Linked DNA regions of Saccharomyces cerevisiae S288C. The gene in region 3 interacts genetically with the main gene of each other region. Each region holds a gene or a part of one and is shown on either strand. Other genes may lie near its edges. The genes, in order: CTH1, GAB1, ESS1 and JLP2.

Region 1 (7,863 bases), on a different chromosome or scaffold from region 3:
CGTCCCGCCTCGTCTCGAATTTCTTCCTCTGCTAGACGGGCTTCCACGCGCTTCCACTCATTTCTGTCTCTGGTAATGGCCGTGGCCCTTCTCACTTTGGTTGGGCTTACGCTGACAAGTGTCTGTTCGATTCCCTGTATAAATATAAACGTATTCTCTTGAGCCTTCTATCCTTTTGCCACTGTCGTCATCATTTGTTCCTCCTTTTTCGCTAGATAGGTTATATTAAGATTTGTCTTGAATTTAATATCTCAACTCAATCCAAACTCAACCGCTAATACTACCATGTCCCAAGTCTATTTTGATGTCGAAGCTGATGGCCAACCAATTGGCCGTGTCGTTTTCAAGTTGTACAACGACATAGTCCCAAAGACTGCAGAAAACTTCAGAGCTCTATGTACCGGTGAAAAGGGATTCGGCTACGCTGGCTCTCCATTCCACAGAGTTATTCCAGACTTCATGTTGCAAGGTGGTGACTTCACTGCTGGTAACGGTACCGGCGGTAAGTCTATCTACGGTGGCAAATTCCCAGATGAAAACTTCAAGAAGCACCACGACAGACCAGGTTTGTTGTCCATGGCCAACGCCGGTCCAAACACCAACGGTTCTCAATTCTTCATCACCACCGTTCCATGCCCATGGTTGGACGGTAAGCATGTTGTCTTTGGTGAAGTTGTTGACGGTTACGACATCGTTAAGAAGGTTGAGTCCTTGGGTTCTCCTTCCGGTGCCACCAAGGCTAGAATTGTTGTTGCCAAGTCCGGTGAATTATAACCGCTCTGCCTGGAACAATACAGCAAAAATTGAAACGAACTATTCTCTCTTAAATTATATGTATATGTATAAGGTATGTGTATGTATGACAATCAATTCTTATAACTAACTCTTCCTACCTATATCGGAGTATGTTGCCAGGCTTGCCAACTAGCCAACTACCGCCTAGGTTATGCCTGTTAAGTTGACGCCGCCGGGTACCGCCCCCTGTTTTTCCCACGTTTCTTTCTTTCCTCTAGGTAACGGATTTTCGGCTTATTTTCCACAGCGAGAAAATTTTCTTTCTCCTGCACTTTTTTTCATATTCAGGTCCTTTGATCCATTCATTCATTCTTGTTTTAATTTCAATCTAGATTTTAGTTTTCGGTTGAATTTATCTTTAGTTTTTTATCAATAAGAATTGGTCTAGCTTATCTTTCCAGGCTGCTTATAGTTTACTTTTTTTAAAAAATTATATTTCTATCCAATATACAAATCGGAAGGGAAATTCATATACACAAATTAAACGTTCCAATTGCATAAATACCAACACCATACAAAATGGACTCATTATCAAAAAAGATTCAAAATTTAGGTATCCATGATATTAGAAATGCCGCAAGGTTTGCCCAAAACGTGATAGTCCAATATGAGCCTTATCAGATAGATATCCGTCGTGCTACAAATACCGATGCTTGGGGCCCCACACCGAAGCACCTCGCCAAGGTTTTAAGGAACAGATACCAAGTGCCGCTCTACTTGATGACAGAATACACGTTGAAAAGATTAGTCGACCATATCGCTACCAGGCCCAAGAACCTATACGAAAAGGCAAGAAAGGACTACGTTAATTATGGGTCCGAATGGAGGGTGGTCTTAAAATGTCTAGTAGTCATTGAATTCCTATTATTGAACGTCGACACAGGTGACGAACTGAATCAGATTAGATCATGTTTGCTCACTCATAAGCATATTTTAACCAGGGAGATTGCCCAATTCAAGGTAAAATTCTCCAATGATGGTAAAATGGAGATTCATGAGAGAGGTATTAGGAAAAAGGGAGAACTTATCTTGCAATACTTGGAAGACTCACAATTTTTGAAAAAGGAAAGAGCCAAGAATAAGAAGAATGCCTTGAAAATTCGACAGCAAGGAGAATCCTCCATTTATAATGCCAACCAGATTTCAACGTCTGCAAGTTACGATAACATCGACGACGATGAATTTGATGCAGATGCAGATGGCTTTGACAGTGAAATGGATGCTAATAATGTGACCAACTTCAATGTTCCTGTGGAAACAGAAGCAAATTCGAATACTCGCAGGCGTTCTCATATGGAAGAACAAAGAAGACAAAGAAGGGAGATATTAAGAGAGCAGATCAAAAATAAAGAACAGCAGAGGAAAAGAAAGCAACAACAAGATAGCATCCCTGACTTAATCGATCTTGACGATAGTACTAGCACCACGAATAATATAACAATAGACAATGGTAATAATGACAACAAAAACAATAATATCAACAGCAATAGTGATGATGATGATGATGAGTTTGGCGACTTCCAAAGCGAAACGAGTCCCGACACAACAGCACCTAAAACTTCCAATAGTAAAATAGATGATTTGCTTGACTGGGATGGCCCAAAGTCAGACACAGATACCACCGCTGCTGCGCAAACATCATTGCCCTTTGCGGAGAAAAAACAGCAAAAAGCCCGTCCTCAGGCTACAAAGGACAAGTCGAAGGGAAATGATGCATTTTCCGACTTATTCTCTTACTCCAAGTCGTTGGTCTAATCACCAAATACCCCTTCATCTCCCAATACATTCAATACAGTCAACAAATTTTCATTCTCAGATATATGTATCCATATATACACTAATAATATCTTACTAAAAACTTGTCTATTTCCTTCTTCAAATGTCAGTTTTCTTTTTATTGAATATCAAAAAAATATTATATAGATACATTTGTATATGTCATTATCCATGCAGAAGAAAATACTTAAATACTTAAGTACACAAGTATTTATTGATTTGCTATTTCGGTCTTGGCAAGTCCCTTGGCTACGTCATCTACACTCGCGTCATCCTCTTCCATATACTCGTCGCCTGTGCCCACCACGCCTTGTTCAAACATTTGCTTACCGGTTAGCTTCCCATGATGAGCCTTCATCCTTCTCACCTGGTCTCTTTCATCCAGTTTCAGTTCTTGGCGAAATTTAGACCTCCATTCCAAGTACGATTCTCTTGTGACTTTAGTACCATGGAACTTGGCCTGTTCCTTCTTTTCACGTTCTTGTGCTTCCAGCTCGTACTGCTTCTCGAGCTTATTCAATTGTTCACTATACCATTGCTCACATCTTTCTTTTATGGATGAAATCAATGCAAAACACATTTGCATACCCAATAACATATCGGTTTCGATTTGCGATTCTAATTGTACGGTTAATTCAGGCAAGTACCCCTTAAAGCTTATTAAATCTGGCAGGTTTTCAAACTTTTTCAGTACTTTATTACCATGGTCGTCATATTCAACCTCGTCTTCATCTTCCTCGTTATCTTCTTCGTTGTCATTGAGGGCTACTTCTTGAGCTTCCAATGAAATCAGGCATGGTTCGTCAGGGTAGTTTTCTGGTAACTTGAATTCGGCGATTATAGTGTGCTCTTTGGTTAAAACAGAAGTAGAATCACCTGTATCCAGCTCTAATTTAATGGCTACTTCAAATTTAATCTTTGGGTATTCATCGTTTATGATCCTCAGTTCATCAGGATAAATGGACTCTAAAACTTCTAGTTCCTGCTTCTGTTCTTCCTTATAATCCATAGTATTAACAAGTGCCTTCTGGATATGGAGGGAGGGCTTTTCCTTAAATTATACCAACCGACAGCATGGGAAACTCAGCTCTTTAAAGCCAATCTAACGATGCCTGCTGATTTTACAATTGGAAAATAGAAAATTTTCATTTTCCACCTTCTGTTACCCGAGTTTATAGACCTAGGATTTCCAATCATTACTTATTAGGACATTCGGGAAAAATATACATATATGGCCCACTTCTCTCACATCTCTTTTAGGGTCTGTGCCAATGGCACCCAAATTTTTCTTCTTTCTTTTTCGCTCGTATTCTCTCACGCTCTTGATCAGTGTGAGCAGTTACTAATATACTGGATCAGAGAACATTAACTCAAAGGTTGATAGTGTAGATCATTGGACATAGTGTGACGGTTTTGCACTCTTGTTGCGCTTGCTCTCTTAACAAGTCACATCTTATTTAGCCTCTTCACCCATAAGTTGATTGTAAAGCCGTAGAACCCTATATCACAGTCTCTTCGGCAACTCAACCAATAAGAACTATTAAGGATTAACACTAGCCATGATGCCGAATGTTGCTCCAAACAGCTACTATTTAAACATACCGAATGCCAATTCGACCTCAACGACTACGTCCTCGATCTTTTCTGATCTCAACAAGGAGTACGAGTCAAAGATTAAAGAAATCGAAGAATATTATATAAAGACACTGCTCAATGAAAATACCGATAATGATGACAGCAGCAGCTCCGAGGGGCATAATATAAATGAAACGGACATTTTAAGTGAATACTCACCAAGGCCTTCTCCTTGGTTACCATCCAAACCAAACTGTTATCATCCGTTGGGAGATTTTAAAGACTTGATCATATCAGATTCCAGACCTACAAATACATTACCTATTAATAACCCTTTCGCAGGCAATAATAACATCTCAACACTTGCTACAACTGAGAAAAAACGTAAGAAAAGGTCACTCGAAGTTGAGATTAACCCTACTTACACGACAAGTGCATTTTCATTACCCCTGACAGCGGAGAATTTACAAAAACTATCTCAGGTGGATTCTCAGTCTACTGGACTTCCATACACACTTCCAATTCAGAAAACAACAAAACTGGAACCTTGTAGAAGGGCACCTTTGCAGCTTCCTCAATTAGTCAATAAGACCTTATACAAAACTGAGCTCTGTGAATCTTTTACTATTAAAGGCTATTGTAAGTATGGAAATAAATGCCAATTTGCTCATGGTCTTAATGAACTGAAATTCAAGAAAAAATCAAACAATTATAGAACTAAACCTTGCATAAATTGGTCGAAGTTAGGCTACTGTCCGTACGGTAAGCGTTGCTGTTTCAAACACGGTGATGATAAGGACGTTGAAATATATCAAAATGCTAACGATGGAAGAAGTAAGGATACGGCGTTGACTCCACTTCCTACTTCCCTAGCCCCAAGCAACAACGATAATATCACTAATTTGAGTAAGCCTAGGAACTTACATACTAGTGTTAAAGCATTGCAAAGGATGACTTGGTAGTCGGTCAACAACAAAGCCCTTTGAATATTTGGCGTATTTCTGCTGCCTCTCCTTATTTATTTATTCATTATCGTTTTCATATTTATTTCAGTCACAAAACAAAATTAAAGAATTCGTGACCTACTAACATGAGAATTAGTTAATTTAATCTTTTTAGTTTATTTATTTCATTAGGTAGAATTTTTTTTTCTTTCTCTGATCTTTCAGTGTTACTCATCGGTGGCAAACGTGTTTACAGGACTAAAAATCGAAATAATGATTATTATTGTTCTTAATTTACTTAGAGTTATTTAGTTTTTTTAACTATCGTAAATTGCCAAATGATCGGCTTTGTGGTACTCTATGTCTTAGAGACCTTGTAGATACGGACCTTCTCGATGCGCTAAGTCTTTTACTGGAGCTCTTTGTATTTTCGCCGGGCAATGGGAAAATCTTTCCTGAATACATATTATCTGTTGGATCATCAGCGATGTCCTCTAAACTTATCCCTTGCATGTTCCTTTGAAGTAAATAACGTAATGAATTATACCAAATATTGTGTCTTTGCCTTGTAGGACAAGTAAACTTAATAGTCCTAGTTTCTGTGGTAACAACAATACTTTTGTGATACAATCCTGTTGGATATGGGTTTGGGTCTGTGACACTTTCTACTCCTAGAATGGCAACACCTTTTGTTTTGGTATTGGCAGGATTCTCTAGGATGGGATTAGAAGCGGACCAGTACAAAGTTAAGGTATATGGATGAACCCAGAAGAATCTTTCATGACGTGATTCGAATCCAAAAGGTCCCAAGCGTGGATAATACTTAAACAAATATTCCCCAATGACGGTTTGGGTTAACGCGGGTATTATGCTTGGTTCGTTCAATGATGCTAAAGTTTGTAAAGATGCCGTCCTACTGGCAGATCCTGCACGTGACATAAATGATGCTACTATATCTCGTCTAGATGCTGGCGTATTCCTCGATGAATGTGTGGTTTTTGAGGTTGAATTAGAATTCAGACTCTGTTGACGTTTATGGTGCTTATGATGATTAGTACGATGAGACTGCTCTTCTATTTGTGGATGACTTTCGGAATCTTCATAAGCAGTTGTTGCTGCTGCTTCTGCAAGTCCCTTTTTTGCTCCAGACTTTGTGGACACAGTAGATGTTTTATTGTTTAGCTTATGCGACACATACTCATGTTTGGATGCCGTGGCTTGACCTTTCTTATCTTCCTTTGTTGTTAGTGCAATCTGGAGCCCACGCTTTTTAACTTCCGCTTGTAATTCTTCATTACTAACACAGTTCCATTTCATGTCTTCAGGTGACATTAGATTATGGTAATAGGACGCGGAAAGCACAACTATATCGCTCATATCTTGAGCACTTGCATATGATGCACCCACAAAATTACTTTCAGGAATACACAACATACCATATTTCATAGCTTGAGTTTTAATAATGTCTACATCATTTTTGATTTCTTGGCTTTCATCTACAAAGCTATCAGATATATCGTCACCATAAACCGCCTCATTTTGACTCATTATATTATCATCTCTTGATAACAGTGTTTTCTCCCTACTAGTCAAAATCAAATTACGATCGCCAGCGGGTTTCTTGAGTTGCCTTACTGTGAATGTTGGATCATCCGGCCCATATTCGACTTCTTCGTTGTCCATATCATTGTGGGGAACGGTGTTTTGGAAGGCACCTTCTTGCGCTGTGTTTGTGGTTTTTGCTGCTAAGTTTTGATTTTCTGACAAGGGATTATTCATTTCTTCCATGCCACCATTCAGATTAACCGCGTTATCTTTTAGTATATGATATTCTTCAAATTCCTGATCAGAAATGAGGGTCATACCATATTTTTCTGCTTTTCTAGATAAGTGATCAAGATCTATGCTACTGGCAACGCTAGTGTCATCGTTGTCCTTCGAAAATAATGGAGCTTCAATGTTTTTCAGATTGATATTTGATTTTTCGAACGGAACTAATTTGTAGCCTAATTTTTCAGCAGAATTCTTGATGTTTTCATAGGCGGGAATGAAAATGGTAGCATCTTTCACTGTGGATGATTTCGAGATTATGTCAGTATAATCTTCATTATTCTGCAATTCGACACGATTAAGCTCTTCGATATTATCATCTAGTGCATCTGTAAACATGCTCGATGTTGTGGTCGAGTTACTGCTGGTCGTATTTATTGATTGTTCATCAATGCGCTCTGCACGCTCAGCTCCAGAAAGTTTGTTGGGTTTTTGGAGGCATAATTCCATACCGAATTGGTGGGCATATACTTTCAAATCTTCATAAGTAATGGGAGGGCAGGGACTTGTAGTGTTTACCAGTTGTTGGTATTCTATGTTTTCTACTATGATGCTATCAAAAATGGCGGCCTTTTCTTTCAAAACATCTAGGCTAGGACGATCTATTTGATCCCGCAGTTCAGAATATTCCTTTTCTGAAATGATAATTAGCCCTTGCTCCTTGGCTTTCATTGTCAAAAATTCAGAATCTGGTTCAGATAATAGTTTCTCGTTTCTTTTATGCGTAGATTCATTAACTAGTATTTTCCCCATTGATAGCGCCTTAGTGGATAAGAAATCGATAGTTGGTTTCTCAATCGAGCGTGACATGGTCGCAAAATCATCCTTGTCTACCAAGACTTTATTTAATAAAGATGCCTTTTCGGAGAGGTGGATCACTGTCGGATGTTCTGATACTGCTAAAATGTTTTTATAGTCATCTTCTTTTATTAAAATATGATTA
Region 2 (7,996 bases), on a different chromosome or scaffold from region 3:
ATACTTTTAATTTCACAGGAGAAATTAAGATAAATAACTTGAAAAGTCCACTGAGATTGGTGAAAGTGTTTCATCCTCTTTTTCAGTTTCCCTTGAACGATAGGGTGGAGTGGGACAGGCGGGAGATATGTTTTCCTGTAACGGCTGCATCTCTGGTATATTTCCATCCCGATTATATGTTTTCATGGGGCTGGAAGTGAATAATGAATTCGTTCTTCTTATTGGAGACGGGGAAAGATCAATTTTCAAGGGCTTAATCTCATCGTTTTCTCTAGCTAGATTAGACATGGTTCTCCTAGATTTGGTGTATGATGGATGAATGTTTGAAGAATCTAGTAAATCCTCCAAAATCCTGTACTTCTCATTTGAGTAATTCAATGCTTCTTGTAATGATTGTAGCTTGCTTTCCAAGGCTTTTATTTTCTCATCTCTTTTCTTAATTTGCCGCTGTAGAAGAATTTCTCTATCTAAGTATAATGATTGATTTCTATCTTTTCCACTCGACCCGTCAGAACTACCACTTCTTAGTTCACTGATCCGTTGCTTATTGTATTTCAACTCCGATATCTTTCTCTTAAAGGCATCACTCCTTAGGATCCTAGATTTGGCTGTATCTGTGTCCATATAAGAAGGTCTTCCCTGGGATCTCTTCTTCAAAATTCTAGTCATGTCGCCACAAACATTTTGCATCTTGCTCATATTTTCATTATCATTGGAAAAAACATCTCTGATTGTCTGGAATATCTTTGTTAACCTTCGTTTGGGTGTTTTCCTCCTGTTAGTACGAATTTTTTCTTCAGTTTTCCTATCTGTCACCTTTCTAGGTCTTTTTAGAACGCTTTTACCCGTAGGACGCATCTGCTTTCTTCTGCTCCTTAAGGCAGATCGTTTTCTCACTTCATCAAGGGACCCGTATTCTCGTTTCCTGCCATCATCTCGTATTCCAAAAAAATCTTTCCACAGTCCCTGTACGGATTTTAGCATATTACCAATGTCTATTATTGTACCTTTCTCTTCAGAGTATCTACTTGTTCATGTTCAGCAATAATTTCATAATTGTTGATGCGCGCATCGTTTCTATACTATGACGCGTCACGAATTGTGCTAGAGTGGCCTCTAATGAAAGTATAAGAGGCGTTGGCGAAGGTCAAGGATAGACCATTGGCTGTTTCGGATGAGTTATTTTTAAAGTGTAAAGGTATAACATCAAATGAATGAAAATTAACATTGATCTCAGCTCTCAATTTCTTTCCTCATTTGTTTTCGATGTTTCTATATGAGTATACATTAAACAAGTAAATCTCAAGCTCTTGTCAAAACAGTTATTTCCAACATATCTATCTGCATTATTGGTAGCATAATTCTCAAAGGAAGCTAAAACATCCTTCTTAAAGACGTCTATTGGCAAACGATATGTTACGTATTCCGGGTAAAACAAATATTCCATTAAGTGAAATGACCTTTGTTTTCAAAACTAACCAGTTTTAGAACAGTAATTCATATAAACAACGTGATCTTATATGAAAAACTCACCAAAAGGAGACCAATGGATTCCACAGCACTTAAGGTAGCTCTAGGCTGTATTGCAATTCGTTTGGCTGTGAACAGCCTTTTTCCCTCTCTACAACAACAACTGGACCAGTCTGTAGAATTCTCAACTCCCGTAACTTCATTTAGGTCACTACAGGAAGGTATATACCTACTGCGGAACAACATCCAAGTATATAATCATGGGGTTGTTCACCATCCTCCAATTTTGATTTTTTTTCTTTCCCTCTTTAATTCCGACAGGTTAATTTCCCTCATATACGCTTTAATTGATGGATTAATTGCGTATCAGCTGACAGAGGTAACAAAGGCTTTCAAAAACTTGAAACTGAAAGTTTGGCTACCTGGACTTCTTTATGCCGTGAATCCTTTGACCCTTTTATCGTGCATTAGTCGGTCATCAATCATATTCACAAATTTTGCTATTTCATCGTCATTGTATTGCATATTAGCTGAAGGAAACGTTCTTTTGTCCTCTGTTATGATTTCTATATCTGGATATTTGTCAGTATACCCTATTCTCCTCTTAATTCCGCTATTAGGTATGCTGAAAAGTTGGAGGCAAAGAATATTATCTGCCATTGTTTCCATACTATCTTTATTAATTCTGCTATTATTCAGCTACAGTATATTAGGCAGCCAAAGTTGGTCATTTTTGACACAGGTTTATGGATCTATTATAACCTTTGAGAAGGTTTTTCCAAATCTGGGTTTGTGGTGGTACTTCTTCATTGAAATGTTTGACACCTTCATACCGTTCTTCAAGGCTGTATTCAACATTTTTATTGCAGTATTCATTACACCATTTACTTTGCGCTATCATAAGCAGCCATTCTACGCATTCATTTTATGCATTGGGTGGATTGTCCTTACAAAGCCATATCCCTCACTAGGTGACGCTGGTTTTTTCTTCAGCTTCCTACCTTTCTTCACGCCACTATTTGGATATTTAAGATACCCCATCATATCAGCATTACTGTTTTTACACGCAATTGTTTTGGCGCCAATTTTCTATCATCTTTGGGTTGTTTTAGGTTCAGGGAATAGTAATTTTTTCTATGCTATTTCCCTAGTTTATGCTCTGGCTATAGCATCTATATTAGTTGACTTGAACTGGGCGATGCTGAGAATTGAATACGATAACGGTATCCCAAATTTCAAATTGAAGGTAACACAAATTTAACTACTTCCCGTCTATAAACGTACATAAACTAGAATAAAAAGAACCATACAGATGTTCATCGTAAGAGTGGATAAAGCGAATATGAGAGCCATATTGGTTATTCCAGAGGCTATCTATTTTTTAAGAGAAACTGCTTGGTTAAAATTTGCATAATATTGTCTCGGAGAGAAAAGATAGAACTCAGAAGGACCTAATTAATCATGAGCGTTATAATACGAAGAATTGAGATAGAGTGTATGATCTGCGGATTAAGCTCCTACATAATAACAACATTGTACTTGGGACTATGCCAATTTCTTTCCCACCAAAAGTCGTATGAAAAAGGTTATCTTCGCTAGGGCTTCCATTAGGTGAAAGCCAATATATTATCATAGAATAGCACGGCATAAATATATATTTTGTGCTGTCTTTTTGGGAAGGGTAGTTTGACAACCCATGTACATTAACATAAAAAGAGCTTTATCATTAACGGACGAAGAAAGAATGTGTATCGCGTATTTTTAGACTATCGATAATCTTTTTTAAAGTTATGGTAGATAGAAGATGGAATCAGTTACGAAGTGATGAGTTCCCATACATTCCAGCCTGTTTACATTAGCTAATTTAAAAAAAAAAAACATAATTAGAATATTACGTGATGACTCAGTTTAAACGGTACTCTGTAACACATCATTTCTATTTGTTGTTCTAAAACAGGTTCTACATATTTGGATCTGCTGTGAGAATGACCTAAAAGGTAAAACTCTCTTTGTAATAATCCAAGGAAAGTGGGAGTTCCTTGGGGAAGCTCTATTGCAATATATTGTAGTTTCCATTCAGCCTGCTTATCGCCTTAGGAAAAAGGAATGTAAGAGGCAGAAAAGTGCGGCGCAATCGTTCGGACAGCGAGCCGCCATTATAGGTAAGAATACTTAAAGAGCTTCGCCGGATATTATTACAGTGTATTAAATTTCGCCAAGTCTTTGCCAATGGAAATGGGTGCATAAATTTATGTGCTTGGTACATATGAGTTCAATAGATATGTAGTAGTTGGATAGTAGATAGTTAGGATATATAATCATGGAAGGGTTACTCACAACGAATCACATAATGAGTTATGATTTTCACTGTGCTCATCTGTTGCCCCTACAAGGGGTGATCAATAACAAACAATTTCATTAAAAAAAAAAAAAAAACTAAGTCACTATAACTAAACGTAATAACTATGTATATGAAAGAAAATAATATCTGTTCGTCATCTAGTTTAATACGGCAACGAGTTTTTCACCAGAGTTCTTACCATATTTGATGTCTTTTAGGATATGAGGAACATCACAAAGCCCGTTCTTATAGACCCTTACTGGAATATGGCGAATTTGTCCATCATTAATCTTTGGATTGATGAATTTGATAAATTTTATTGCAGCTTTCCTAGCTTCTGAGTCGGCTGGTAAAGTAATGTTTCCAAATGGTACTTCATGGCCACCTATTGAATATAGCCTTATTATGTCAATAGTAACGTTTTGTCTCCTGTTCTCTTTTTTGACGTTTTCTTCTGTCAAATTTTTTAATTCAACAATTGTAGCATCCTGTTTATCGGCCGCACATTTGTACACTTGTTGAAGCGTATCTTGATTCGCGACACAGTCGACTAAATACGAGATATTGTTGTACTTGTGTTTAATTTGTTCTACCACGTCAATATCATGATAATCAAATAATTCATCAGCACCATATTCTTTCAAAAGTTTTTCGTGCTTCCGAGAAGCCACAACAATGATCTTGGTGAAGCCATTCAATTTATTGGCTAATTGGATGAGCGACTGACCTACTGCAGTTGCACCGCCCCATAATAAGATGGGGCCTTTTCTTTGTGGGGTTGATGGCTCCCACTTCAGGTCCAAGCCCAAGTTATAGGTCAACACCAAGCCGGCTGTGGTCAGTGACACTGGGATAGTGGCTACACCTTCCAAAGACCTGACAGGGCCGGCAGGTAGAACATCCTCACCCAAAAATTTGAGTTCATTGGGTGATTTGTAGGCAACCACAGTTGAAATAGCAGAATATTCAGCAAAAGCACCATTGGAAGGAAACCTTACGGAAGATCCGTGAATGAACCCATAAATATAATCACCGATAGAAAAGTCTTTAGGATTGACAGCTGGGCCCAATTTGACAATTTGGCCAGCAGCATCACATCCCAGAATAGATCCTTGAGGCCCGATCTTGTAGTCAATGTGTGCCCAATCAGTGGGGTTACCAGCAACAGCGAGTGTCTTAATCAATACGAATCCTTCTTCCAATTCAGGAATGGGAATGCCCTCTTTAACAACCGCTTTACCGTCTTCAATGACGACAGCCTTCATGGTTTCTGGAATTGCAACTTGCATGTTTGTAGGTTATCTGTAATTGTCGTTGATAATCTGTATTCAGCTTGCCATTTTATAGAATATGGTTAGAAAGATCTTAAGCTAGATAAAGAAAAAGAAAAAAATAGAAAAAAGCCTGCCCGCTTTATAAGAACTTTTCTCAATATCTGTTGAGGAACACTTAGTAATATCGTCTATCATGGTTGCTTTATTCTTAGTGATATTACTCTCTGGGATTCGATGTGTTCTCATCATCTGAAGGGTTTTCTATGTGTTGAAAGCCTATCCCACTAGACGGAGCCGCGCGTCAGCCGGGCGGATCCGAGACATCTTAGTCAGCTGAGACAAGAAAGGCACAGCTCTCGGACAGGAACTGCTGTCATATGAAAACCTAAAAATGTTTCCTGGAAATTCCATGACTGCGCAAAGTTTGATACGTTTATTGTTCTTCTCCACTACCGCACTTTCTATCTCGGAAACCTTTCAACTAAATGAACTATTGTTAATTGTATGGCGTGTGGCCTTTCTATTTCAGAAAATTTAGAGTAAAGTAAACTCCGTCGGACTAGTATAGTAATGAAACAAGCCATTGACTCTGCAGCATATTGCGACCAAAACCTGGAAATTGGTGGCTATGAGTTTTAATTTATAATTATATGAAAACAAAGCTTGGAATGCTGAGTACTTTTTCTTCAATGCTGCTCACTGCCCAGAAGCGTTCAGAACAACTCTACTGGAGCCATTCTGCTTGAAGGAGGATAAAAATGCCAAGATCAAGTCTTTTAAAGATTCTATCCCTTTTCATCGAAGAAGCACTACAAGTTTATTTTACAGAAGTTGACAAACTGTGGAACTTGATCCATACTGAATAAGTATGGAAAACTGTTAACTTAGAGGATGCTCTGCTTTCTAAAGAAGTTTCACAGCTTTAGACTCACATGGGTTCTCATGAGTATTGCTAGCTAGTGCGAGTTTGATCTATACTTCACAGACTTTTAACACCCCGTTCCTTAAGTTTTCCCTGATTATCAAGGGTATTTCCAATTCTTACTCCCCACTATCGCTCCTTTCTTATCTGAATTGTATTTTTGAGTGGCCTAATTGTAATCTTTTATTTTGTTTTCTAATTATTGAAGGCGGTTTCTCGAAGCATTTCACGATTTCCAAAATTCAAGAATTGAAATTATGAACATAGAAGACAAAATACTTTTTTTATCAACTATTAATACACCTTTCCTAGAGAACATTTTTAAAATAAAATAAAATAAAGTAGCGCTCTCTACTACCCTTACACTTTTCTCCTTCATATCTGGCTAGAAAAGAGGGATTACATCTCGGAATCAAATATTTCCCTCTGTGCAAAGTTTTAATACTGCTACTACGAACTGGTTACAATTTTATTTTTATCATACACGATACTTTGAACATCAACTTCTCTCAATACCATCCGCCTTCAGCGGCTACAATTACGTAATTGCACCAAGGCATTCGCCGAGAGTTCACAAATTGCAGACCCTAACAGTATACGACTCCCAACACACGTTTAATGTTGTACGAATTCAAGAGATAGAAATGCTTCTTCCGCGGAAGCCGTTTAAAGCACTGAAATTAGGCTTAGACAATAGACTTCTGTACGAGGGTCCAAATCTAAAATTCAGATATTCTTTTTGACCGAAAACGGAAATCACAGGCGCGCAAAAGGGTTTTTCAAGGTACCCCGGCATCCCTATAATAGGCATTCCCACATTCTGCGCATACGAATACACATGAGTGCCATAAAACAATACTCCACATACGAAGTCTATGAAAGATGTATGATTCGTTCAGAAACAAGAGCATTTCCATACTGATAATGAGATTGTGTGAAAGATGAGATATGGAGGATATGTGAGGTGCTAAATGAGCGTCTGTTAACGAATCGTTTAAATAGTGATGACTGATGAAGGCATGGGTATAAATAGAGCTGCTTCAACTGTATGCCTTTGAGAATATGTCTTTATTCCTTTCTTTCCTGTTAAGCTTATATCAGCACTAACAAACAAAACAAATACAATGGTCAAATTAACTTCAATCGCCGCTGGTGTCGCTGCCATCGCTGCTACTGCTTCCGCAACCACCACTATAGCTCAATCTGACGAAAGAGTCAACTTGGTTGAATTGGGTGTCTACGTCTCTGATATCAGAGCTCACTTGGCCCAATACTACATGTTCCAAGCCGCCCACCCAACTGAAACCTACCCAGTTGAAGTTGCTGAAGCCGTTTTCAACTACGGTGACTTCACCACCATGTTGACTGGTATTGCCCCAGACCAAGTGACCAGAATGATCACCGGTGTTCCATGGTACTCCAGCAGATTAAAGCCAGCTATCTCCAAGGCTCTATCCAAAGATGGTATCTACACTATCGCAAACTAGGGACGAGTGCCTCTACGAATGAAAATTCATAGACAGTAAAAAGTAATGAAAAATAAAATAAAAACTACTTTTTTTTGATGATATAAATACCGTAGATTATATAAATGTATATTAATATTATAAACCTATTTGATCAATGACAGTGTTCGTGAAGCATTTTATGAATACGATAAACATAAAAAGAAACTTTTACACTATTCTAGAAAAAGGGTGGATGGTAATAAAGCTAATAGAGTATGTCCAATAAACAATAATGAAATTGGAAGCGCATGACTTCTCAGCACTTTGTCTTTCCATAAAAATGAGTCGCTGCTTCTTTTTTCATTTTTTGGCGCGTCGCGTCGGGCCGTATAGAATATGCGTCACTTCTAAGAACAAGATTGCAGATCAGGGCAGTGCGAGTTACGGAGTCATGGTATCAAACTCTCATTTAGAGACCCTCATTTTTTGACACTGAAAATATCAAAATTTCTGGGTTGCGATAGTTTTTGTGTAACCGTAA
Region 3 (7,548 bases):
TGACACCTGTACTCCTGAACGGGTATCGGCATTTAGAACGCTGCCTCCAAATGTCTGGTGAACGTTCGTGAATATTCAGAGTGTCGTTATTGCAATGGAATGGCTGCCTTTGTGACGGCGTCAGGATAAATTGTGAGTCACTGAAACATATTCGGCAAAGTAAAAAAACGGACGTAAAAGATTCTTTCTTTATTCTTTTCACGACAGTCTACAAGTAACTGAAATAGCATACATTTACCAAAAAAATCGAAAAAAATGTTTAATACTACACCAATTAATATCGACAAATGGTTGAAGGAGAACGAAGGCCTTTTGAAACCACCGGTGAATAATTATTGCTTACATAAAGGGGGATTCACTGTGATGATTGTCGGTGGGCCTAATGAAAGAACCGGTTATCACATCAATCCAACTCCCGAATGGTTCTATCAAAAAAAAGGATCTATGCTTTTAAAGGTTGTGGATGAGACAGACGCTGAACCAAAGTTCATTGATATCATCATCAATGAAGGCGATTCATATTTATTGCCAGGAAATGTTCCTCACAGTCCTGTTCGGTTTGCTGATACTGTGGGTATTGTTGTGGAACAAGATAGGCCTGGGGGAGAAAACGATAAGATAAGGTGGTACTGTTCTCATTGTCGCCAAGTGGTCCACGAGAGTGAACTGCAAATGTTAGACTTAGGTACCCAAGTGAAAGAAGCCATTTTAGATTTTGAAAATGATGTCGAAAAGAGGACATGTTTCCATTGCAAGACGTTAAACTACGCACGCCCTCAATCTAATTAAGTATTAGAAGAGTTGTTAGTTGTACTTTTATAGCTCTCTTGTTACGTAAGATTGCGGCACTAAGATGCGGTGCCAATTTTTTTTTTTTTTCTCTTGATCAAAGCAGCTAGCTGTTCATCAAGATATGTAACGTTTTTAAGCACTGAACTAACAAGGGGAGCCAGTGAACGACTATGTCTTCACAAGATGTTCTGATACATTCAGATGATCCGTGCCATCCAGCAAATCTCATTTGCACGCTATGCAAGCAGTTTTTTCATAATAATTGGTGCACCGGAACTGGAGGTGGGATTTCAATAAAAGATCCTAACACGAATTATTATTATCTCGCCCCATCTGGGGTGCAGAAGGAGAAGATGATACCTGAGGATTTGTTTGTCATGGACGCTCAGACATTAGAGTATTTGCGCTCTCCCAAGCTTTACAAGCCAAGCGCATGTACTCCATTGTTCTTAGCGTGCTACCAAAAGAAAAATGCAGGTGCTATAATACATACACACTCCCAAAATGCTGTGATATGCTCCTTGCTATTTGGCGATGAGTTCAGGATTGCTAACATCGAACAAATCAAAGCAATTCCAAGCGGAAAGGTGGACCCTGTGACCAAGAAACCCATGGCGCTATCGTTTTTTGATACGCTGAAGATTCCCATCATTGAAAACATGGCGCATGAGGACGAGTTGATCGATGACTTGCACAAGACTTTTAAAGATTATCCAGACACATGCGCCGTAATTGTGAGGAGACATGGCATTTTTGTTTGGGGTCCGACAATCGATAAGGCCAAAATTTTCAACGAAGCCATCGATTATTTGATGGAGCTGGCCATAAAGATGTACCAAATGGGGATTCCTCCCGACTGTGGCATTGGCGAAGAGAAGAAGCATCTGAAGATGGCCAGTCCGTGACGGGTTAATGCTTAAATTTATTGTATGATTTATATACTTCTATACATGGTATTATTATTATTATTATTATTATTATTATTATTATTATTATTATTATTACTATTATTGCAACTATATTATTTTGTCTTTGATTCGTACACTTTTTCCCATATTACATGCTCATTTTCGATTTTATTCTTGGTGTCCTTTAGCATTGGGACCTTCTTTTCGTCTATAGGAGCTAGACTGTCATCATTTTCTGCATCTATGAGGCCAACAAGAGCAATCTCGCTGCCTCGAAGTAACTGTGCCTTGCAGATGAATTCCTTGCTTATGCGGTTGAAAACATTGGTTATGAATAGATTAGTATTTTTGTCGAAGCCGTTTAGGCTTGCTATGAGGCATTCGCCGTCAACTTTGATTATAACAACTCTTTTATTTAAGTAGTCTTTCAAGGTGGCTGACATGGTGCACGATAGTGTGTTCTTCTTGTATGGTGTACTGTATGCAGCTTGCTGGTCCATCTTATAAGAACCACGTAAGATTAGTTTTTTTTTTTCCCTTTACGCCATGATAGTATTTTCAGGACTTAAAGGGAAAATCAACAAGAACAGAAAGAAGGAAAACAAGCAAAACAAGGATACTGCAGACGTGTAGAAACATTTAGTAAAATGGTCGCTAGAGGTAGAACAGACGAGATATCTACAGATGTTTCAGAGGCTAATTCTGAACACTCGTTGATGATTACAGAAACATCATCACCGTTCAGATCTATATTCTCCCACAGTGGGAAAGTAGCGAATGCAGGCGCTTTAGAGGAATCGGACAAGCAGATACTGGAATGGGCAGGTAAACTGGAATTGGAGAGTATGGAGCTGAGGGAAAACTCTGACAAGCTAATTAAAGTTTTAAATGAAAATTCTAAGACATTATGTAAATCGCTAAACAAGTTTAACCAGCTACTGGAACAAGATGCTGCTACGAACGGTTCGTACCAACACAGTGCATACCCTCAAGTTTTTTATTCATTTTCTTCCAAAACACATTTACTAACAACTGTAGTATAGGAAACGTGAAAACCTTAATAAAGGATTTGGCTTCCCAGATTGAAAACCAACTGGACAAAGTGTCAACAGCAATGTTATCGAAAGGCGACGAGAAGAAGACAAAGTCGGATTCCAGCTACAGGCAGGTATTAGTCGAAGAAATAAGCAGGTATAATTCCAAGATAACGCGACACGTAACTAACAAGCAGCATGAGACGGAAAAGTCGATGAGGTGCACCCAGGAGATGCTCTTCAACGTCGGCAGCCAACTGGAGGACGTGCATAAAGTGCTCCTGTCTCTATCCAAAGACATGCACAGTCTACAAACCCGCCAGACTGCTCTAGAGATGGCGTTTCGAGAAAAGGCAGATCACGCCTACGATCGCCCGGATGTGTCTCTGAATGGCACCACACTCCTGCACGATATGGACGAAGCCCACGATAAGCAGCGTAAGAAGTCCGTGCCGCCACCAAGAATGATGGTCACAAGGTCCATGAAACGCAGAAGATCCAGCTCCCCAACCCTATCCACCAGCCAAAACCACAATAGCGAAGACAATGATGACGCTAGCCATCGGCTGAAGCGTGCGGCCAGGACCATTATTCCCTGGGAGGAACTAAGACCCGACACTCTGGAATCTGAGCTGTGAAACGGGCGTCCTGCTTTTTCATTCTACACAGGCATATGTAACAGCAGTGTATAGGCTATGTAAATCGGCCCAATCAACAAACAAGCGTTGCTTATTGGACTTGCTACTACCCCAACAAAGGAGAGAGCCTTTGATTGCATCCTCGGAAGAGACGGCATAAACACCGAGCCTCATCCTACAATGAAAAACCACGCCAGTTGGATATAAACCAGAAAAGGGTTTCAATTCAGTATCCACCATGAGCAAGACAAGATAAGACAAGATTGCATAAAAATGAGTGCTTCCAAAATGGCCATGTCCAACCTAGAGAAAATATTGGAACTGGTTCCTCTTTCGCCTACCAGTTTTGTCACAAAGTATCTGCCTGCCGCGCCCGTAGGGTCTAAGGGCACTTTTGGTGGAACGCTGGTATCACAATCGCTGCTGGCGTCATTGCATACTGTGCCATTGAACTTCTTCCCCACATCGCTACATTCGTATTTCATCAAGGGTGGTGATCCGCGGACCAAGATCACGTACCATGTGCAGAATCTGAGAAACGGTAGAAATTTCATCCATAAGCAGGTTAGTGCTTATCAGCACGACAAGTTGATATTTACGTCGATGATCTTATTTGCCGTGCAACGGTCCAAGGAGCACGACTCCTTGCAGCACTGGGAGACGATTCCAGGCCTGCAAGGTAAGCAGCCAGACCCTCATCGTTATGAAGAGGCCACTTCGCTTTTCCAGAAAGAAGTTCTGGACCCACAGAAATTGAGCAGGTATGCCTCATTGTCCGACAGGTTCCAAGACGCAACCTCGATGAGCAAGTATGTGGATGCGTTTCAATACGGAGTCATGGAGTACCAATTCCCCAAGGACATGTTCTACTCGGCAAGACACACCGACGAGCTGGATTATTTCGTCAAAGTGAGACCTCCCATCACTACCGTGGAGCACGCGGGCGACGAGTCTTCTTTACACAAGCATCATCCGTACAGGATCCCGAAGAGCATTACTCCTGAGAACGACGCTCGCTACAACTACGTGGCCTTTGCGTATCTGTCCGATTCCTACCTCCTACTCACGATCCCGTACTTCCACAACCTGCCTTTGTACTGCCACAGTTTCAGTGTCTCGCTCGACCACACGATTTACTTTCACCAGTTGCCTCATGTGAACAATTGGATCTATCTTAAGATTTCGAATCCCAGGTCCCACTGGGACAAGCACCTCGTACAGGGCAAGTATTTCGACACACAGTCGGGACGCATCATGGCAAGCGTCTCTCAGGAGGGCTACGTTGTCTACGGGTCAGAACGAGACATTCGAGCCAAGTTCTGAGGACAATTCCCTCCCACGTATAAACACATACATATATATTCTTATATTATATAATAATATCCTATTTATTATTACATCACCTTTCACGAGCGGGTATCATACCTTTTTCCCTTCGATCTAAGTAGAAAAAGGACCTGAATGATCATTGTGGTACTTATTCCCACGCATAACCGACTACGGCACCACAACGACGCACCAATGCCATCTGACGTAGCATCGAGGACCGGGCTGCCAACCCCGTGGACCGTCAGGTATAGTAAGTCCAAGAAAAGAGAGTATTTTTTCAATCCAGAGACGAAGCACTCGCAATGGGAGGAGCCTGAGGGCACCAACAAGGACCAGCTACACAAGCACTTAAGAGACCATCCAGTGCGTGTAAGATGCCTGCACATTCTCATCAAGCACAAGGATTCAAGAAGACCCGCATCGCATAGATCCGAGAACATTACGATATCCAAGCAAGACGCTACGGACGAACTGAAAACCTTAATCACGAGGTTGGATGACGACTCTAAGACGAACTCCTTCGAGGCCCTGGCTAAAGAGAGATCAGATTGCTCTTCATACAAGCGAGGCGGCGACCTCGGCTGGTTCGGGAGAGGCGAGATGCAGCCTAGCTTTGAAGACGCTGCCTTCCAGCTCAAGGTCGGCGAGGTAAGCGATATCGTTGAATCAGGAAGCGGTGTTCATGTGATCAAGCGGGTAGGTTAGGTTGGCATTTGCTTCTCCACCTCACCTTTTTATGTTCTTATTCCCTCTTGTATCCATTCCGTCCTCGCTGAACCCATGAAAAGAAAAAAAATTAACTAGTCACATAGTTAAATGGCGCTGTTCTTCGCTGCGAGCGGAACCGGGCCTGAAAAAAAATTTTCTCTTTTCCTCTCCAGATGACTCAGTAATATAGTAGTATATTATATAATGTAACAAAAGAAGAGACTGAAGTTTTATTATGCATTGTAGCGCCTGTAATCTTTAGTAACGGATTCTTGTATTTTTTTGTAAACAGCCAAGAAAAAAGTAGAGATGGGCTTGTTAACGAAAGTTGCTACATCTAGACAATTCTCTACAACGAGATGCGTTGCAAAGAAGCTCAACAAGTACTCGTATATCATCACTGAACCTAAGGGCCAAGGTGCGTCCCAGGCCATGCTTTATGCCACCGGTTTCAAGAAGGAAGATTTCAAGAAGCCTCAAGTCGGGGTTGGTTCCTGTTGGTGGTCCGGTAACCCATGTAACATGCATCTATTGGACTTGAATAACAGATGTTCTCAATCCATTGAAAAAGCGGGTTTGAAAGCTATGCAGTTCAACACCATCGGTGTTTCAGACGGTATCTCTATGGGTACTAAAGGTATGAGATACTCGTTACAAAGTAGAGAAATCATTGCAGACTCCTTTGAAACCATCATGATGGCACAACACTACGATGCTAACATCGCCATCCCATCATGTGACAAAAACATGCCCGGTGTCATGATGGCCATGGGTAGACATAACAGACCTTCCATCATGGTATATGGTGGTACTATCTTGCCCGGTCATCCAACATGTGGTTCTTCGAAGATCTCTAAAAACATCGATATCGTCTCTGCGTTCCAATCCTACGGTGAATATATTTCCAAGCAATTCACTGAAGAAGAAAGAGAAGATGTTGTGGAACATGCATGCCCAGGTCCTGGTTCTTGTGGTGGTATGTATACTGCCAACACAATGGCTTCTGCCGCTGAAGTGCTAGGTTTGACCATTCCAAACTCCTCTTCCTTCCCAGCCGTTTCCAAGGAGAAGTTAGCTGAGTGTGACAACATTGGTGAATACATCAAGAAGACAATGGAATTGGGTATTTTACCTCGTGATATCCTCACAAAAGAGGCTTTTGAAAACGCCATTACTTATGTCGTTGCAACCGGTGGGTCCACTAATGCTGTTTTGCATTTGGTGGCTGTTGCTCACTCTGCGGGTGTCAAGTTGTCACCAGATGATTTCCAAAGAATCAGTGATACTACACCATTGATCGGTGACTTCAAACCTTCTGGTAAATACGTCATGGCCGATTTGATTAACGTTGGTGGTACCCAATCTGTGATTAAGTATCTATATGAAAACAACATGTTGCACGGTAACACAATGACTGTTACCGGTGACACTTTGGCAGAACGTGCAAAGAAAGCACCAAGCCTACCTGAAGGACAAGAGATTATTAAGCCACTCTCCCACCCAATCAAGGCCAACGGTCACTTGCAAATTCTGTACGGTTCATTGGCACCAGGTGGAGCTGTGGGTAAAATTACCGGTAAGGAAGGTACTTACTTCAAGGGTAGAGCACGTGTGTTCGAAGAGGAAGGTGCCTTTATTGAAGCCTTGGAAAGAGGTGAAATCAAGAAGGGTGAAAAAACCGTTGTTGTTATCAGATATGAAGGTCCAAGAGGTGCACCAGGTATGCCTGAAATGCTAAAGCCTTCCTCTGCTCTGATGGGTTACGGTTTGGGTAAAGATGTTGCATTGTTGACTGATGGTAGATTCTCTGGTGGTTCTCACGGGTTCTTAATCGGCCACATTGTTCCCGAAGCCGCTGAAGGTGGTCCTATCGGGTTGGTCAGAGACGGCGATGAGATTATCATTGATGCTGATAATAACAAGATTGACCTATTAGTCTCTGATAAGGAAATGGCTCAACGTAAACAAAGTTGGGTTGCACCTCCACCTCGTTACACAAGAGGTACTCTATCCAAGTATGCTAAGTTGGTTTCCAACGCTTCCAACGGTTGTGTTTTAGATGCTTGATGCATTATAGGCCCCAATCGATGAATATATATATAGAGATTCTCCTTTTCCATCATCTTTTTTGTTCGCAAT
Region 4 (7,643 bases), on a different chromosome or scaffold from region 3:
CTCGAGCATTAGGATGGCCAAGGAGCTGGGATTTATACGGAACAACAAAGACATTGCGGTTTTCAATGATTTGTACAAGATCAAGGAGCGTTTCCATATCAAACATCTTATTAAGCTGGGGCGTATCAATGAGGCGATGGAGGAGATAAACTCTATCTTCGGGCTGGAGGTGCTGGAAGAGACTTTCAATGCTACGGGAAGTTATACGGGTAGAACTGACAGGCAGCAGCAGCAGCAGCAGCAGCAGTTTGACATAGATGGAGATTTACACTTCAAACTGCTGTTACTGAATTTGATCGAGATGATAAGAAGTCACCATCAACAGGAGAACATCACCAAGGATTCCAACGACTTTATACTCAATCTAATTCAGTATTCTCAAAATAAACTTGCAATAAAGGCTTCGTCAAGTGTCAAAAAGATGCAAGAGTTAGAATTAGCAATGACTCTGCTGCTTTTCCCCTTGTCAGATTCGGCGGACAGCGGCAGCATTAAGCTGCCCAAATCGTTACAAAATCTGTACTCGATATCTCTAAGATCTAAGATAGCAGATCTGGTTAATGAGAAGCTGCTGAAGTTTATTCATCCAAGGATTCAATTTGAGATCAGCAATAATAATTCCAAATTTCCAGATTTGTTAAATTCCGACAAGAAAATAATTACGCAGAACTTCACGGTGTATAACAACAATCTCGTCAATGGTTCAAATGGTACAAAAATAACTCACATTTCGTCTGACCAACCTATCAACGAAAAGATGTCAAGCAACGAGGTCACGGCTGCTGCTAATTCAGTTTGGCTAAATCAAAGGGATGGAAATGTTGGCACAGGTTCAGCGGCGACAACTTTTCATAACTTAGAAAATAAAAATTACTGGAATCAAACTTCTGAATTGCTTTCCTCTTCAAATGGAAAGGAAAAAGGTTTAGAATTCAATAATTACTACTCTTCCGAATTTCCCTATGAACCAAGATTGACGCAGATAATGAAACTGTGGTGTTGGTGCGAAAATCAGCTTCATCACAACCAAATAGGGGTTCCTAGGGTCGAAAACTGACATACATAGTACGTATATATTTATATATGTGTGTGTGCGTGTGCATGTGTGAGTGAGTGTGTGTGTGTGTGTGTGTGTGTGCCTACCTGCATGTATGCATTTAGCAATTGATTTTTCTTTTTTTTTTTTGGAAGCTTTCATAGTATGAATTCGCATTTTATCGTGTTTCCCGTATCAATCTTCAGGAAACATAATTGAACATCATCGATATTCAATGGCAGTAGTTCATCTTTATGATTGTAAATTTTGACACCGTTGGAAATCGTAAACTTTCTTGCCCCTTCACCGCCCTCATTCTTAATTATATCGCGATATATTTCGCAATCTTTAAAGTAGTGGTAAAGTCTCAGCCTCAATACACGCAAGGTAGTACCAAACTCAGGTCTTTTTTCATTTTCATAATCCTCTGGAGAAAATTCAACATGAAATTTTAATGGGGTGGACAGAAGTTCTTTCCCATCTACAATAACATTACATTCGACATCCAATTCTGATACAAACACAGGTTTTGCAAAAAACTTATCGCGATCTTCGAACTCTTCAATAACAATACCGCTTTTCTCGTCTTTGTATTCTTTACCGTGATATTCATCACTCACCAACATCCGATGAAGCTTCAGACTTTCATCGATTCTTCCACGCTCTAGTTCTTCTGATGTGTTCTTTTGTAGAAGACTCATTTCGATCGTTATATACAGTTCGTTAAAAAATGCAAGCGTACCAACCACTATCAAAAAGAGAGTTATCCTACCACTTATTCGATCATGGATAAATTGATGAACATATGGCAACTCCTGTAGTTTATTTATTAATTTTAATTCGAGATTTAGATACCTATCCTTTAACGACATACCGGCCTTTGGTTCTTTTTCTATACCACACTTTGCTATAAACACTTCCAAGTATATTGCAGATTTGCGATGTGATTCAATTTTTATAATGCTTTATATTTTGTTTTTTTTTCATAAAGGCTTACTTAAACGAGCTTGCTCTTCTTGCTTAGCGATATTGCCGAAACTCGGGTTTACTTTTCCATTTTACTTCGTGGCTAGTGTAAAAAGGAATTGCAAAAAAAGGGTTCACTTTTCGAACATTTTATTGAGAACCGTTTCAACCTTATTAACCTTTTCATTCATATTTGTAGTGGCAAAAGTTGTTAGTTAGTATTTCTTTGTCAAGTCAGAGAAAATGAGTGGATAAGAGGGGGAAACAGCTCAGTTTCTTGCAAATGCATACATACCCATTTCATGAATTCTTCGTCTTTCAACTTTTCCTTGATTAGCCGCTTAGATATTTTTCTTGACGCATTCCGATTAACGTTTTTAACTCTTATCGTTAATCCTTCGCTTGGCGATGCTTCTTTCCTCGTTTCATTAAGTGTGCCGTTAGGTAGCACTTCTTTATTTCTATCAGGGGTATGTGTATTTCCAGATTTTTGGGGGTTTGTTAGTTTATCATCAATATTTTTCTTATTACTGGTATTTTTCTTCGCCGTGTTGTCTTTCCCGGGGCTCCATATAATCGTTGGTGTTGCATCTAAACCAGTGACGCTTTGCATCTGACTTTCCCTTTCCTTTGGTATATGAATAGTTTCTAATAAACCAGTTTTACACAGAGCAATCTCCTTTCTTGAAGTAAAATCAGAAGTGGTGTCGACTTTTTTCTTTTTGTTTTCTGCATTAGGAAGGCAGTTGGTAGTGTTTGGTGGAGATTGAGAAACCTCCAATGGCTGTACAATTAGCGACTCAGGACGACCCAAAACAGTTTGCGTAGCCATTGGAGTGTTGAGGTCTTGTGAAGATTGTACTACATTTAAATCCGTGTTTGGCCATATTTGTTGAGCTATTTGAATGCTGTCGTGTGGTAAAGTTATATTTGAACGATTATTTGACTCTCTTTCAGATTCTTCCTGATAACGTTGACTGAAATCCATAATCATGTTTTGAGTTTGAAATTGCGTGTTCGGATTTGTGTAGCTACTAACTTTTGGACCTTCTGTGAAACAGACCTTTGTACCGTTATTATTGCCTTGCACCTGGCTTGTTATTGTACTCTGGGCTATTGATGTCCTAGCTGTCCTTAAAACAAAATTAAGGTTCTTTAAAGAAACTACAGTCCTGTTGAACTCAACGTCATTTGGCAAATTCATCTGAAACCTCCTTAACATTCTGGGTCCGAATTCTTCGGAGATATATTTACAAGAGATTATGGGGCTTTTACATGAAAATTGTATTAAATCTTGATTATCCCCCAGCGGCAGGCGAATATTTTCGAGAAGTGTTGAATTATTGAGAACCACATTGATCAGAATTTGTCTAGAGTCCATTAGAAGAACCCGAAATTGGAGAGTGCAGTTAGCGGAAAGGTGTTGCCACTTGTCTATCTGAGGAGGCTCAAGCATTGATTGAAAACCATTTGGAGCGAAGGAGGGAATTGTATACTTGGAGTATTTCTTTATTACAACTGAGCAGTACTCGTACATTTTTCTCTTTTTTTTTATTTTAGTTCTCTCTTTCAAACTTAACTTGACGATATGTTAAAACCTTCTCCTTTGCTTTTTATAAGTTAGCCGCCCACCTTGTAACGAAATTCTCTATTAGTAAAAAAAAGTTGATATTCTTTCAGGAACCCACCAAAATGGGCTTCGTATTTAAGTATGTATTAATAATTTATGTTATTATTATTTAAAATACTGAATACTTTAACAGTCATTTAAGTGTTTATGAATATGCAGACGGTAAACTGAATTTTATTTTATTCCTACAAAATCACATCGTAGAACATATAAGTAGTCATTACATCTATAAAAAAATTAACAGTGGTTTGAAAACATTCGTTGTGCTCGATCAATCATTTGAAAAGAGACTTCTTATTTTTTCTGAATGCTAGATGCTATTTACTTTCATCTTTTATACTCTTAATTTATATTTAGTTTAGGATATAGATTATCCTAGGCTTTAATATTTTAATGGAAAAAAACTACAATAAGATTGAAACAAAGAACTTGGATAAAAAAACAAAACAACTCTGTAGACCAGAGGACTGCCTTATACTTAAAATTTAGAAAGTAAGCGAATAGAATTATAAGGCTCAATTGAAATTCAACTTTTCAATAACAATGGTGTATTTCTATGAATCAAAACCAACTGAGTATTCAACACCTTACCAAATTGTGATGGGCAAAGATAAGTTTGAAAACGATCTACTTATCAAATGGAGCTATAGGGAGTTAAACTATGTTTGGTTTCACGCGGATAAGTACTCAAGTGGTCATGTTTATTTAAAGTTACGCCCAAATGAAAAAACAATCGATGACATACCGCAAGAAGTGATATGTGACTGTCTGCAGCTATGTAAATCAGAATCCATTCAAGGAAACAAAATGCCACAATGCACCATCTTGATAACACCATGGCATAACTTGAGAAAAAACAGGTATATGAATCCCGGTGAAGTATCATTTAAGTCTCTAAGACAATGTAGAAAAATGGAATGCGGAGCACGAGATAACAAAATACTAAACAGACTGGCCAAGACAAGGGTAGAACTATTTAATAATGTGGAAGCTACACTTAACGAAGCAAAGAAGACCAAAAATGGTGATTTTTTTGTAAACTATATTGAGTCGAATAGATCAAATCTTATTGAAGAAGAAAAGCTAAGGAAAGTAGCGAAAAAAAACCAAAAGAAGAAGAACAAACAGTCTAAAGATGAGGTTACTGACGATATGCAACTGGAAGTATGATATCATCTACATAACGTAGACGCTTCAAAATAGAGTACCATTTGTACTTACATCGTGATCACGTTTCTTTTTTCGTTCGAGCCGTGAAAATTTTTTTCCTTTCAGCGAAAAATACAGAAAATAAAATCCAACTGAATTTAGCGATGAGATGATCATTTCTTATAGGGATTGTAGTTGTTTGAATTTGTAGGTAAATAGTTATATCACCTACTCTCCGTTTTCATATACACGGAAATAGCACCATAATGTCGAAAAGGTCTATCGAGGTCAACGAGGAACAAGATAGAGTGGTCTCTGCTAAAACAGAATCTCACTCTGTTCCTGCTATTCCCGCCTCTGAAGAGCAAGATGCTCCCAAGAATGACCTAGAAGAACAATTGAGTGATGAATTTGATAGTGATGGTGAAATTATTGAAATTGATGGCGATGATGAGATTAATGACGAAGATGACCTTAGGAAAAAGCAAGAAGAAGCTGAAACTTTAGTACAAAAGGACCAATCCGAAGGCAACAAAGAAAAGATCCAGGAGCTTTACTTACCCCATATGTCTCGTCCATTAGGGCCAGATGAAGTCCTTGAGGCTGATCCCACTGTTTATGAAATGCTACATAATGTCAATATGCCATGGCCATGCTTGACATTAGATGTCATTCCAGATACACTAGGTTCTGAACGTAGAAACTATCCACAGTCTATTTTGTTGACCACGGCTACTCAATCTTCCAGGAAAAAGGAGAATGAACTAATGGTTCTAGCACTTTCTAATTTAGCGAAAACACTTTTGAAAGACGATAATGAAGGTGAAGATGATGAAGAGGATGATGAAGATGATGTGGATCCAGTCATTGAGAATGAAAATATACCATTGAGAGATACAACCAATAGATTAAAGGTTTCTCCTTTTGCCATTTCTAATCAAGAGGTGTTAACCGCTACAATGAGCGAAAATGGTGATGTTTATATATACAATCTAGCTCCACAAAGCAAAGCTTTTTCCACACCAGGTTATCAGATTCCGAAGTCTGCTAAGCGTCCTATTCACACTGTAAAAAATCATGGGAATGTTGAAGGCTACGGGTTGGATTGGTCACCATTGATCAAGACTGGTGCGTTACTATCAGGTGATTGCTCAGGACAAATATATTTTACCCAAAGGCACACATCGAGATGGGTGACTGATAAACAACCATTTACTGTTTCAAACAATAAATCCATAGAAGATATCCAGTGGTCTCGCACTGAATCCACCGTTTTTGCAACCGCAGGATGTGATGGATATATAAGGATTTGGGACACAAGATCAAAAAAACATAAACCTGCTATCTCTGTTAAAGCTTCTAATACTGACGTAAATGTCATAAGTTGGAGTGATAAAATTGGTTACTTGCTAGCAAGCGGTGACGATAACGGTACATGGGGAGTATGGGATTTAAGACAGTTTACGCCAAGTAATGCTGACGCCGTCCAACCGGTTGCTCAATATGACTTCCATAAGGGAGCCATTACTTCCATTGCATTCAACCCATTAGATGAGTCTATCGTTGCGGTAGGCTCAGAAGATAATACTGTGACTTTGTGGGATTTGTCTGTAGAAGCTGACGATGAGGAAATTAAACAACAGGCCGCCGAAACAAAAGAGCTACAAGAAATTCCACCACAATTATTGTTTGTTCACTGGCAAAAGGAAGTTAAAGATGTCAAATGGCATAAGCAAATCCCAGGTTGTTTAGTAAGTACCGGTACTGACGGTTTGAACGTCTGGAAAACAATCAGTGTCTAAACTGTATAATACTTGGATCATATATTTACACATAGTAGATTATTAATAAACAAACCCATTCAAAGATATAGTAAATATTACTGGCGGATATGAATAATATCTATCATACATATTTGTTACTGTAACGTTAGGCGCTCAGGGAAAGAGTTCCTCTAAAACCTCAAGATTCGAAACAACGTACTTTCTTTCACTCAACTGTAACGTGTCAGTTTGCTTAGTATTGGCTTCCCAAGTGTTTATTGAATTATTATCTATTTTATCAATTGACAGCTTGTATTCGTCCCGCATTGGTTTACTAATCGAGTTTGAAAGAAACCCGTATTTATCATTTCTATCTAACAGTATACCAGTCCAACCGGCAGCTTCTGCCCCTTCGAGATCGTTCTTTAATTCATCTCCGATGTGAAAGCAATGCTGTAGAATTTCCTCCCTGGTGTACTTTTCGAGTAAATGAGGTTGTTTAGATATAATATCGTCAAGCGCATATTGAAATATTGCTCTATCAGGTTTGGCGAGATTAAGCTCATATGATAAATAAATGTGACCGGAAAATGTCTCAAATAATCCGATATTCTTTAATAATTTGTAAAAAATTGGATCAGTATTGCTTACTATTCCTAAGATAACATCAGGATGTCTTGACTTCAAATCCTTTAAAAATTTGATCAAATCTGGATAAACAAAATACGAATCGAAGCCCTCAAACCGCATTAATATTTCATTTATCATCTCATCGGGAATTTCGTTTGGTGCGAAGACGTTCCTAATCAAGATGGACCACCATTGTTCGGGCTTGATACCAGAATATTTTCCGTATTGGGGATAGTCTTCCTTCAGTTTTTTAAAAACGTGTGGAAAATTGTTTGTTAAAGTCGAAGGATTCGCCTTGATACCATATTTACGCCCAACAATGCAGTATTGTTCCATGACGGGAAGTTTTGTGGCGTATAGTGTATTATATGCGTCGAAAGTAATAATTAGTGGCCTTGCCACCCTATGAACTTCAGACCACGCATTTATAGGTATTCTTTTCGGATAGGTCATTGAGCCAATTTCTGTG

Evidence for each region.
Region 1: of ESS1 (region 3) and CTH1, extra expression of one rescues a mutant of the other (dosage rescue), as found in Saccharomyces cerevisiae (2 studies listed by BioGRID).
Region 2: mutations in ESS1 (region 3) and GAB1 together harm fitness more than expected from each alone (negative genetic interaction), as found in Saccharomyces cerevisiae (2 studies listed by BioGRID).
Region 4: mutations in ESS1 (region 3) and JLP2 impair growth when combined (synthetic growth defect), as found in Saccharomyces cerevisiae (2 studies listed by BioGRID, with this or other methods).

The regions. Positions count from the first base shown.
Region 1 is NC_001136.10:761,423-769,285, reverse strand, and holds CTH1 (putative mRNA-binding protein CTH1), read left to right. Parts: upstream 1-4,130; coding exon 4,131-5,108; downstream 5,109-7,863. Other genes in the region: peptidylprolyl isomerase CPR1, read left to right, coding at 286-774; ENT5 (Ent5p), read left to right, coding at 1,315-2,550; GIR2 (Gir2p), read right to left, coding at 2,783-3,580; NUM1 (Num1p), read right to left, coding at 5,412-7,863. UniProt on the Saccharomyces cerevisiae protein: Binds to specific AU-rich elements (ARE) in the 3'-untranslated region of target mRNAs and promotes their degradation. In response to iron deficiency, promotes the decay of many mRNAs encoding proteins involved in iron-dependent pathways.
Region 2 is NC_001144.5:1,055,788-1,063,783, forward strand, and holds GAB1 (GPI-anchor transamidase subunit GAB1), read left to right. Parts: upstream 1-1,546; coding exon 1,547-2,731; downstream 2,732-7,996. Other genes in the region: NBP1 (Nbp1p), read right to left, coding at 25-984; YLR460C (uncharacterized protein), read right to left, coding at 3,970-5,100; seripauperin PAU4, read left to right, coding at 7,132-7,494. UniProt on the Saccharomyces cerevisiae protein: Component of the GPI transamidase complex. May be involved in the recognition of either the GPI attachment signal or the lipid portion of GPI.
Region 3 is NC_001142.9:464,379-471,926, reverse strand, and holds ESS1 (peptidylprolyl isomerase ESS1), read left to right. Parts: upstream 1-4,893; coding exon 4,894-5,406; downstream 5,407-7,548. Other genes in the region: BNA1 (3-hydroxyanthranilate 3,4-dioxygenase), read left to right, coding at 256-789; methylthioribulose 1-phosphate dehydratase MDE1, read left to right, coding at 963-1,697; U4/U6-U5 snRNP complex subunit LSM8, read right to left, coding at 1,814-2,143; REC107 (Rec107p), read left to right, coding at 2,348-2,663, 2,744-3,372; TES1 (palmitoyl-CoA hydrolase), read left to right, coding at 3,646-4,695; dihydroxy-acid dehydratase ILV3, read left to right, coding at 5,719-7,476. UniProt on the Saccharomyces cerevisiae protein: Essential PPIase specific for phosphoserine and phosphothreonine N-terminal to the proline residue.
Region 4 is NC_001145.3:532,103-539,745, reverse strand, and holds JLP2 (Jlp2p), read left to right. Parts: upstream 1-4,175; coding exon 4,176-4,802; downstream 4,803-7,643. Other genes in the region: glucose-induced degradation complex subunit GID8, read left to right, coding at 1-1,057; ERG29 (Erg29p), read right to left, coding at 1,195-1,908; REC114 (Rec114p), read right to left, coding at 2,137-2,181, 2,298-3,539; ribosome biosynthesis protein RRB1, read left to right, coding at 5,048-6,583; DPI35 (Dpi35p), read right to left, coding at 6,719-7,627.